3 linked regions of the Diceros bicornis minor genome follow. The protein of the gene in region 1 interacts with the protein of each later gene in a biochemical or structural test. Links are inferred from orthologs where the notes say so. Each region holds a gene or a part of one and is shown on either strand. Other genes may lie near its edges.

The links. The genes of interacting proteins can lie anywhere in the genome.
Region 2: the proteins of LRRK1 (region 1) and BAG3 form a complex in vitro, tested with the Homo sapiens proteins (2 studies listed by BioGRID and IntAct, with this or other methods). The link is inferred for Diceros bicornis minor from reciprocal best matches to the Homo sapiens genes LRRK1 and BAG3.
Region 3: the proteins of LRRK1 (region 1) and VGLL4 form a complex in vitro, tested with the Homo sapiens proteins (2 studies listed by BioGRID and IntAct, with this or other methods). The link is inferred for Diceros bicornis minor from reciprocal best matches to the Homo sapiens genes LRRK1 and VGLL4.

Annotation. Positions count from the first base shown.
Region 1 is NC_080744.1:80,700,556-80,704,303, forward strand, and holds the start of LRRK1 (leucine-rich repeat serine/threonine-protein kinase 1), read right to left. Parts: upstream 2,368-3,748; 5' UTR 2,305-2,367; intron 1-2,304.
Region 2 is NC_080745.1:82,423,107-82,426,854, reverse strand, and holds the start of BAG3 (BAG family molecular chaperone regulator 3), read right to left. Parts: upstream 2,876-3,748; 5' UTR 2,570-2,875; coding exon 2,384-2,569; intron 1-2,383. UniProt on the Homo sapiens protein: Co-chaperone and adapter protein that connects different classes of molecular chaperones including heat shock proteins 70 (HSP70s), e.g. HSPA1A/HSP70 or HSPA8/HSC70, and small heat shock proteins (sHSPs), e.g. HSPB8.
Region 3 is NC_080741.1:84,305,475-84,309,222, forward strand, and holds the start of VGLL4 (transcription cofactor vestigial-like protein 4), read right to left. Parts: upstream 2,879-3,748; 5' UTR 2,428-2,878; coding exon 2,346-2,427; intron 1-2,345. UniProt on the Homo sapiens protein: May act as a specific coactivator for the mammalian TEFs.

The DNA of each region.
Region 1 (3,748 bases):
CCCTGAACCTGCTCACCTGTCTTCTCAGGAAGCTTGGAAAGGACTGCCAGCACCAAGAGCTGGAAGCCACTTGCAAGTGAAGCATGTCAGCAATGTTCATATCATCCAGCACTTTTTTGAATCAAAGGCTGGTTGAAATGGTTGGCTCATAGTCCTAGACATGCTTTTGGCACTATTAGCATCTCTTGACCAATACTGGCTTGCCTACAAAACGTGTTTAATGGATTTGTGGACATCAAAACATCACAATGCTGCAGACTGGAGAAATGTGTAGTTCTCAATCCCAGATAAGCACCCAAGAGGTCCCCAAATTCTCCATCACCATCTCCCTCTGACCCCCAGAAGTCCCTAAACTGTCCATCATCATGGCCCTCTGACCCCGAAAAGTCCCCAAATTCTTCATCGCCATCTCCCTCTGACCCTCAAAAGTCCCCAAATTCTTCATCACCATCTCCCTCTGACCCCCAGAGGTCCCCAAATTCTCCAAGGGTTTGGGAACAGAAGCCCTTCATGAGTCTGAAACCACAAACAAGTTAAGGCTGTCCATTTGCCATTCAGTCACTGTACCAGGATGCACTGGGCGTCTCCTGGATGGTTCCGGGAGTCAAGATGCAGCAGCGAGCAAGGTAGGCACATAGGAACAGTCTCTGACCCCTGAAGCTCCAGTGGAGACCTCGAGGTAATTAAAGCAGAAATTAAACCGATAAAGTAGGAACACACAGACAGTGGAGACTGCAAGAAGGACACAGAGAGAGGGATGTGAGAGAGAGGCTGGGTGTAGAGAGGGTGGCTGGCCATGTGAAGAGTCAGGGGGCAGCACTGCAGAGGCCGCAAGCTGGAGAGGGAGATGGGCCAGGGTGGCTGGGGGGCAATGGTCAGGTGGTCTGAGACAGCAAAGGCCAGATCAGCTGGGGGGTGTGAAGGGAAGGAAGCCTCCTGGATTTCATGCCAAGCAAACACAAGGAGAAGCTATTGAAGGGTTCCACGCAGAGGAATGACACTCTCTGATTTACCTATTTAAGAAAACAATCACTCTGGTTGCCAAACAGAGAATGTGAGAGGACTGTAACCATAAGAGACAGATGCTGGTAACTTGAACTAGGGTGGGGCTGTGAGAAACAAGGGGATGACCCGCACACATGTTGCTAACAGACTTAATTCAAGGGATGAGGGAATGGGATGGAGGATAACTCCTAGGTTTTTGATCTGAGCAAGAGTTGACTATGAAGCCACTTCCTCAAATGTGGAAGCCTGGGGAAGGGAAAGGTTTGGCAGACCCCAAAACCTCCTTTAGGGACAAATTAGGTCTGAGGTTCGTTATGTTTTTAACTTAATTTTTATTCTTCCAGGACACAAGCAAAGATAGTTAAGTCAAATCACAAAAGGCATTGAATGTTAACGTTTTCCAAAATTGTGCATATTCTAGTCGTCCCTTTAATGTCCGCGGAACTTTGAAGCAGAGCGAGTGAATGGCAAACTCTGCAAGTCGCGTATTTGGGAAGAGGATCGCTAAGAACATAACTCCATGATCCTGTTTTTCCACCTCTCCGACCCCTGCAGGGGGATGTGTTTGTGGCAGAAAAACTTCCTGGCTCCAAAGCGCGAAGAGGCAGGTTGAGCTGGCTGCAGAGGTCCCCAAATGCTCTGTCACCAGCGCCCTCTGATCCCAAGGTCCCCAAATTCTCCATCACCATCGCCCTCCGACCCCCAGCCTTCTCAGGTTCCCCTCCTTCCCCCCGCCCCGACCGCACTCATCTCCCGCGCCGCCGACAGGGAAGGTCGCCCGCAGAGACCGCTGTAGAGATGGCGGTCCTTATCGGACCCGGCCAGAGACGCGACCCTTGGGCAAGAAGCACACCCCAGACTTTGAGGAGGGTGAAGGCGCGCTCGGCCATCCCGCATCACCAGGCCGCCCCCGGGCAGAGAGAGACTCTTGGACAGTCCCTTCTCAGCACACACGCACTCACACTCACACACGCACACTCACTCACTCAAACACGCGCGTCCACACAGCCCGCTCCAAATCGAAGGAAGGAGTTTTCTCCAAACGCGGAGGAAACATTTAGACGCCCTGGTGTATTTTCCTACTTCTGTTTCTTGCCTCTGCTCCCCCCGCCCCGGCACCATCCTGCGCGCGGTTTCGGGGTTCCCCCCCCGGGCCCCGCACACCCCCCATCCCGCGGACTTGCCGGAGCACGCAGCCGCCCGGAGCGCGGGCCTGGGCTTCGGGGCCCAGGGCTCCACGCGGACCCGCTGCAGGAGGCGGCCAGGCCCCCGGACGGGGCGCGGGCCGGGGCAGCTTACCTGCGGCGGCGGCGGGGCAGGGCCAGCGGGCGCCCCGGGATGCGGGGCTGGCCGCGCGGGCCTGGCCAGGAGGACACCAGCGGGCCGGGGCCTGGCGGTCCCACTGCCCTCCGCGCCCCGCGCCTCGGGCAGCGCGCGCCGGGGCCGGGCCGGGCCCAGACGCACTTCCTCAATCCTGCGGCCGGCGGGCGGGGAGGGCGGGCAGCGGGCGGCGCGAAGAGCGCGCAGGGAGAGAGTTGGCCGCTGCTGGTCCTCCCCGGAACCGGCGCGAGGAGTCCCCGTGGCGGCCCGCCTCAGTTTCCCTAGCCGTAAACCGTAGGTGATCAAATTCACTGCTCCTGCCCAGGAGACGACAGGGCCCTCGGGCCCCTCTAGCGCGAAGTTTCCTCCAGGTTTGGGTACTCTGCTCTCTCCATGCGGCGTAGGCGCAGCGATTAAGATTGGTGGGTTCCCGGCTCAACTCAGCTTTCAGTGTCCCTCTGTTCTGTTCAGCTGCAAAATCCGCGGATTAACCTCTGACTTGTACATTGGCCGTGTACTCTGGCAGTAAACACTAAAAGGACAGGGAATATTCATTTGTGTACAACTCTACAGGGCCGTATAGAAATGGGTATTTTTAAAGCTTTAGTATTTTGGAAACTTCACCCCCTCCACTACATGAATTTAGTAATCTAATTATGGACATATGCAAACATGTCGTTATTTGATGAATCATTTTAAATTGGGTTTTTTTGGGGGAGGGATAGATAAAATATGGTGGAATGTTCGCAATTTATTGTTTCAACCTAATATAAGGACGTTCATCACACCGTTGAGGCCATTACCCAAACGCAGACCATAAAGATGCACGTCCGTGCTGCAGGCAGGCCTCAGGTTCGGCTCCAAGTGCCCACCGGGGAAAGAGAAGCCTGCTCAGAAAAGGCAGATGGTTCTGCACCCTGGCAGGACCTGCACCCTAGGTTCCTCTCATGTAATGTCACGACTGGAACACTCCCAGGATTTAGCACGAGGCAGAGACAAATCGCCACCACCCTCACCGCCATTTCACGAAAACAGGGCAGCCGCAGGGCCCCCACACCACCTCGCGGACACTCCGGGCGCAGAGGCCACTTGGAGTGGCTCTTTGGGCCCCTGGTTGGCGAGGGGACCACCGGGCAGCTTTGCTCTGCTCCCAAGAGGCTGCCCTTCCAGCTCCTGCCACGAGACGCCCTTCCAAAAGGGTGGGCGCAGTTTTGCTATCCTGTTCTCACCACTGCGGTCCTAATTCCAGTATGCAAAAGGCAGCAGTATGATTGCTATCGAAAAGTCCCTAATAATTTGCAGGGCGTGGTGTCTGCAGCGCTGAGTGAGCCTGACGACCGCTGGGCTGCGCCTCTAGGGCGCGCGGCCCCCCATCTAGCGGCACCGTGAGGAAGCGCACGCCCAGTGCCGGGGCAGACACGGA
Region 2 (3,748 bases), on another chromosome or scaffold:
AAAGTAATACTCAAGGATTTTCCATTGTATTTAGTCTGGAGTGAGGTGTAATCCATATAAGTGAAAGTGAATTAGTCACCCACATGTTCTGTATCAAAGCACAGGTTGCAAGCAATGAAGCACAAAGAGCTAATGAACTGAATGTTTTCTCCTTATGTTTTGGTGCCATGCTGACAAATCTCAAGTAGTTAATTTGGTAAAGAGAACTCTTTTTCTTGAGTTGATCATAACCAGCCACCATCCAAGTAATCACAGCATAGAAGTCAGCCACCCAATACTTGGTGGTCTGGAGGACACAAAAAATAATCAAGTATTCCAGCCCACATGCTTCACAGTTTCATAAAAATTCAAGACACTTCTACCTTCTTCTGAACAGATACACTGCCTCTTATTAGGACTTCCTGGTGTAGTTCTCCCTCTGCTTTTAGTACTAGCTGAGTGACCTCTGGAAACACATTTGAACTCACTGGGTTTCTTTCTCAGTAAAATAAAGAGGCTGAACTAAAAGATCTTTAAGGACCTTTCAACTTTAAAATTCTGACTGTTCGATTTTCAAATCAACTTTTCCAGCGTCAGACTTCTGGTTTAGTAGTCTTATTTTCTACTTGTTAAGAACAATACTAGTAACTCAACCTGTCTTTCCCTCCTTAGGGTTAATGAAACCACAGCCTCACCCATCCACCGGATGGGTACCGGAAGATCTCAACTTGCTGGGGAGTTTCACACTGAAAACAAAGTACTGGAAATCTGGGTCTGGTACTGCACTCACAGTGGATACGTTCAAACCATCTTCTGAATGCAAAACCAAGGATGCCAGCAAATTCTGACTGTTCCTGTCTCTATAGAAAGGATCCCTCCAAAGAATAGTTTTTTACCACACTAAAGATCTACATCCATGCAGATGAGAGTACCAGGGCAGGTTTGAAATGAGCATTAGTTTCACCCAATAATGGGCTGACCAGACACACAAAAAAGAAGGTATAATCACGCCCCGCCCAGCTAATTACAGCCTCTTGTACTAATTTTCAGAAATAAATATACAATTAATTTCTTATAAATGTAAGTTGCTGAATATATGATGTCTCACTGTTGGACATCAGTGTTAACAGTATTTTTAAGAAAAAAGCACATAAAAATGAAGGTGGATAATACGTATCTTTCTTCTAAAATAACGACAAACAGCATTTTTAATTTTGTGAATTTTTAAATCTTCAAAATAACTTACCAGCTCTTTACAGCTTTTATTTTTATTTCGCCCAGGCAGCATAACATTACTCTTTCTTTAAGTATATTTCTTCCTGCCAAGCTTTTTATTTTGAAAAAGCTGAAATTTATGGTAAATTACAAGAGTAGTACAATTAGTTATAATTTTTTAAATTAACACTCATTCCAAATTTATATTCTCAAATTTTCATCCTCCTAAGGATTAAAAAATACATATCCTTGCATATACGTAAATGAGGCATACTTCCGCTGTATTCACAAAGGTATTACTACTCAGTTACTGGTGTATTAGAAACAAATCCTAGGTATTCTCATACCATAACAAGGAAGGGAATGCATGCCATTAAAAAAAAAAACTCATTCTCTTTCTCGCCAGTGTGAGGCAATGTCGTAAGGCAATGGCCAACTATGAGACAGTCTCACGTATTTAGTTTAGAAACTGCCTGGGAAACAGCATCTTGTTTTTAACAAATCATACTAGAATATATTCTTATTGAAAACAGTTTCGAACAATAATACAATTTTAATTTCAAACACAGAAAAGGGGGAAAAAAAAGGCAATGTATTTACATCACTCTCCTGAGTCACTCTGCTCCTCAGACTGGAGAGCCAAGTCAAGATACCCCTCAACCAAGTGGAGGAAGTTTAGGACGTGAAATTCCTAAGGGCCCACCACCCGGGCTTGCGAATGGGCCCCTGGCGGCCGCCGAAGCGCGATCAGCAGAGTGAACCCGGGATCTCAGGCCGGCGAGCCGGGCGGCGGCGGAGGCCGCGGCGGGGCCTGGCCCGGGCCTTCGGCGCTGCCCGAGGCCGCCCGCCCCTCCCGGCCCCTCGAATCGAGCTGGTGGACCGGACCTGGCGCCACCGCGCGGGTCGCACTTCCCGGGCCGACCCCCGGAAACCAAATGCGGCCCAGGGAGGACAGTGCCCTCCGGGGCCTCCCCCTCGCCCCGACGCCGGCCAAGGGCGGGCCCGGAAAGGGGGCTGGTAAGGGCGCAGCGGGCCGACTCCCCGGGAGCTGGTGTCCGCGCGTCCCAGGCGGCCCTCACTGCCCTCCGGGGCCCGGGCGCGGGCGCCTCGCGTCCCCGCAGCCCGGCCCGGTCCCTCGCCCTCGCCGTCGAGGGGGCCGCCGGCGGGGCGCGGCGCGGGCCTGGCTCACCTTGGGGCCCTCGGGGGGCACGCGCGGGTCGTTCCACGTCGTGGTGCGGCTGTTGTGGTCCACGAAGAAGGGCCAGCCGGTCTGCGGGTCGATCTTGATCTCCCAGCCGGGGGGCAGGGGGTCGCGGTCGCCAGCGCCGTTGCCGGACGCCATCTGCACCATGGGTGAGTGGGTGGCAGCGCTCATGCTGGGTCGGGGTCGGCCCGGAGGGGCGGCCGCCGCGGCGCCGGGTCGCGGGGTGCGGGGTGCTGGGTCGCGGGGTGCCGGGTCTCCAGGCGCCGAGTGGCTCCCTGGCTGCGGCCGGAGCGAGAGCCGTGCGCGCCGCCGACGTGTCCGGGAAGCCGGCGCCGGGCACCTTTATGAATTAAAGGAGGGGGTGACGTGGCCCGAGAGGGGTGGAAGTGTCTGGAAATAGCCTCCTCGCTGCCAAAGGGGAAGGAGGAGATAAAGGGAGGTAGCAACTGGCCGGCTAGAAACTTCTGGTCCCATCCAGAGAAGTTGGCGGCGGCGCGGACTGGATGCGGAGCTCCGCCCTGAGTCATTGGCTATAATCGGCGCGGGGCGGGGCGGGGGCGGGGCCTCAGCTCTGCCGCCCCTCCCCCACGCTTTCCCCTCCTCCCCCGCCCAGCTGCGGGGGTGGCTGTCCCCGGGCGGGGGTGGCCCCGGGCTGGGTGGCCCCTGCGGCAGGCCGGCGGGACGAGCGAGCCCCGGGCCGTCGTCTGTGTGTCCTGGGCCGGTTTCGGTTTTCAGATTCGCTCCCTCTTCTTGGAGCCGCGTGGCTGTTCCCGGACCCCGGAGTCCGCGCGCGGGGTCTCTGCTGCTGCTGCTGCTGCTTATGAAAACAAAGTCATCCATCGTTCGCCTTTAAAGTCGTTGGTTTTAAACTAGAGTCTGGCCCACCCACCCCCTTTGCTCCTTCGTATACTGATACTCGGGGACACAGGCGTCCCTCAGTTACGTTTTAATCACTTTTTTTTCACGGGCTCAAGGGCCGTCCAGAAGGAGGTCTGGAATGTTGATCTGACACCATAACCAAGCCAGGGAGAAAATGGAAGTGCCAATGGAAACTCACCTGCTGCCTTTTGAAACCTAAGGGAGAAAGATTGCATCAGCTCAGGCTTTATGCTCCTGAACCTCATATCTCAAATATAGAAACTGTTATGGCAGTGGATGACTTTAAAGAAAAATCACATCCTGTGGGGTTTTGATCTTGTTTATGGTAGAGGTTGGTTCTTGCTATCTGAAATCTTGACTTTCATTTGGGAAGTGGGGACCAAATTGAATCATGAAATTTTTTTGTTTGGTGGATTCAATGGTGGTTGCACTTGTAACCTCAAGAGAGCATCCCAATTCCTCTGGGAGAGA
Region 3 (3,748 bases), on another chromosome or scaffold:
TTGTGTATAAGTTGCTAGAGAGGTTGAATAAAGATGATGCAGAACATGGTTTATTTTGCAGAGTAGAGCTGTGTCAATAAAACTAAGGAATACGGTATAACTAACCTAGAGAATAACTAACCATCAACATCTTAATTTTTAAAACTAAAAATTGAGAAAATTAATGTGTCCCTTATTATGAAGAGACGTGAAACTTGCCTGTGCCCTAAGTGGAATTAAATGCTGCTCACCAACTGTACATTCCATTTTCCAAATACCTTCCCAGGAATGCCAGTGCACTGCTATGTTTAATATGAATATTCTCAAAGTGCTGGATTTAAAGGAATAATAATTGTTCCAACTTTTCGTACAAAAAAAAAAAAAGTCCCGTCTAAGATTTATGCCCATCTTCAAAACACCCTTTTGAGTTCAGAGCAGATGTGTGCAGTGTTTACACTGAGAAAACCACTGGGACATAAACAATCCACTATAAACACCACTCAAATTTTGCTGTGCTTTTCTTCATTTCCTGTGTATTTATTTTGGTGTTAAAGTAATGTTAACTTTCATAATAAGGAAAATAGCAGCAGATGTTTAAACCAAACAGACTATGGCAAATCATCCCACATATCTACTCAACTTTCAAAATCAAAGTTTCTTCCTCCCAAATAAGGAAGGAAGCCAGAAGACTAGTCTCATGTGTGTTACATACTACACAACAAAAAATCAACCTGGGCAAGGTTTCCATAAGCTTTTCCTCACCACCACCAACTGGCGACATAAAAAATTAATGTGGTATCAATTTCCTAGCAAGCCCTATATTCCTCTCTTAGGCTGATCGTTTTGTTTTGTTTTTGAAAATATCATATTACTCGATGACAAAGACAAGTCAACAGAAATTGCCTTAAGAGTTTTTAATTTCTTGTTCACTGAAAAAAAAAGGCTAAAAAACTAACTGCAATATGTTAATTTCACAGGCAACAAGCCCAGTCACTTGCTGCTTAGAAGGTTCTGAAAAAGTCTGCCTTTTAAATGAGGGACTTCAGAAGTAAGATGATACTTAAAGCAGCAGATTCAAAGAAAGCAATTCACCAAAATTCTCATTAGAGGAAGAACTAAGAGTAAAGAAAAAACAAAAAACCTTTTTTTTTAAACCTTAAGTATGAGATCGTATCCACAGAGTTAAAAAAATAAATTAAAAAAAAAAAAAACACGTGAATGAGATATTTTTTATCCTTGAAGGGTAAGTTTTCAACTGATTAGGCAACAGGCCTGAAATTTTTACATGAAAATTACAAGTGGGTCAGCTCACCCTCCCAAGTTTCTTCAATGTTTTCTTGTTCAGTTCACTGTAGGAGAAAACATGGAAACTGCTCCTGCTGAATCAGAAAGGAGATGTCGCCTCGATTTGTATGTGGTTACAACAAAAAACACTCCTCCTGCCAAGCTGAATTCCCCTAGAGATGCCTCTCCCGCCACTTAAACCCAGGCCATTACCACTTTTTCAAATCGCACGTAGATAATGTTCCAACAGATTAAGAAATCGCTTTTTCTCTTCTTACTACTAACAGAGACAGCTTGAAATACTACAAGGCAGTGGGGAAACACCTCATGGTTTAGTAGGAGGTAACAAACAATAAGAATTCAGAGCTTTTTTTTTTTTCTTTAATCTAGCTTTCTGGTTGGTGTGTTGTGCTATCACTTCCACAAGGGACCAGAGTGTGGAGGGAACATCCCTCAACGTGAGAACTCTCTCAGAGCTGTACAGGAAATGGGAAATCAGACAAAGAGGCAGTCTGTGCTCCGTGACACAGATGCCCTTCCAGTCCTCCAAACTGAACAGAAAAATTCTTCATTGTTTGGGACAATCACTCCCCAAAGCAAAAATTCATTATAACTTGATGTTCCCCTCTGCAGGAAATCCAAAGCACTGTTGGAATACAACACGAATATGTAGATGGTGTATGTTTAAAACAAGTATCAAAGCAAAAACAAAAAAACGACACACAACTTTTACTTGGGTCCTAGAAGTTCTTCCTCTAATGAGAACACCAACAGAAATTTAAAAAAAAATACATTTTAAAGAGTTAAAAATTTGAAGAGTTAGTATGTTGCAAGCCTAAAGCAAACTTTTAAGTTTCTATTTCTCCGCCTCCCCACCCCCCAGCCCTCTCCACCATAACCCTGAAGGCTCCGATCCAAACAACCAACTTTGTATTGAAAACAGTACATAATAACCGCTCGCCTTCCAAAGCACCCTAAAGTCCCAAGAAAGAACAAAATGCACAGAAGGCATTCAGAACCCTAAAGAAAGAGTGGCCTTCATAAAAGCAATAGAATAGCAATTTCTAGAACGGAACCTCTACCTTCATAGCACAGAATGCCGATATTGTTGTTCATCTTGTCCAAGTACTGGTAGTTCAACAGGTCCATCTTCATAAATAGCATTTATTGGGCTAGCACAGAAAACCAGCTCTTTGCGTTCGCCCCAGAAGAGTACGTTTCAAAAATCAATTACTGCTGAGAAGCTCCTGGCTCTTTTCTCAAACTTCACAAAGACGGAGGCCCGGCCTCAGATGATCAAAACAAAGTATGTAAAAGTAAAAAAAAGAACACACGCACAAAAATCGAACTCGCACAAAACCCTTCAAGGGTTTATTTGTAGACGGTATACGTTTTGTATCCTCAATTGAGCATTTAAAAATTGTTTCAGAAGTCTTTACAAGTCTTTCTTCAAAATATAAAAGGAGTAAAAAAGAAAAACACGAAGCACATTTCCTAGGACAAAGCCACGCTCGCTTTCCTCACAGCCCGCTGCAAGTTAACTGCGCTGACATGCTGGCTATGCTTGGTATGACTCCTATGTAAACGAGCTTCCTCTTCCCAGCGGGAGGGGCACGGAGCATGCTCACTGCATCCCTGGAGCTCTTCAAATGTCAGGGATATTTTCTGCACAAGATCAGTCTCTAAATGTATTAAGTGTTTGAAAGACAGAGAAAGAGGAGGTGGAGAGTCTGTACAGAGGGGCCATGGCAGAGCTGCTCTCGGCAGGAAGCAGCCCTGCCACTGCAAAACCGTAGGAGGAAAAAGAAAACCCGGGAAGTTTCTTTTTCAGGAGCTAGTAAAAAGTAAGAAATCCATCAAGGAAGCAAACTTCCATGGAATTTAACTCTGGTGTATCATCACGTTTGGGTTTCAGAAACCCAAAGTGTTTTGCTGTGGTACCTATATCACACATTTGTAAGGTTTCTTTTTAAAATTGTTTTATAATGTCCATTTATTCTTTAACTGTATATTTAAAATTTTGATGGTAATCCCCCATATAACTTCTCTCATAATCCTCGTAACAACTCACACGGACAGGGCGGATGGTTATTACAGCAGCGGAAACTGAGGCTCAGAGGGATTACACAACTGGCCCAGGGCCCCCAAAATAATTGGTACAACTACTTTTACAGTGTTTTTCCCCTAATATAACCTAAAAAACAAGCAGGGGAAGAGAAAGAGAAAGACGCAGTGAGAGAGGTTTAAGCAAGTACGACTGGTATGTCCAAAACTGAAAGCCTACTTGAAATGATGGGGGGGATAAAATTACTTTCATTTTGCCCATATGAAAGCTGTTCCATTTGTGTATCAGAGGCTAGGAGCATGCTGCCATGTTGCTCCTCATGGGAAGGATGTGAGGCTTAAACTTTGCATCTCCGACATCTAGCACAAGTAGGTGTTGTTTACTGAATGAGTGAACCACTGAATATTCAGTCTTCAGCAC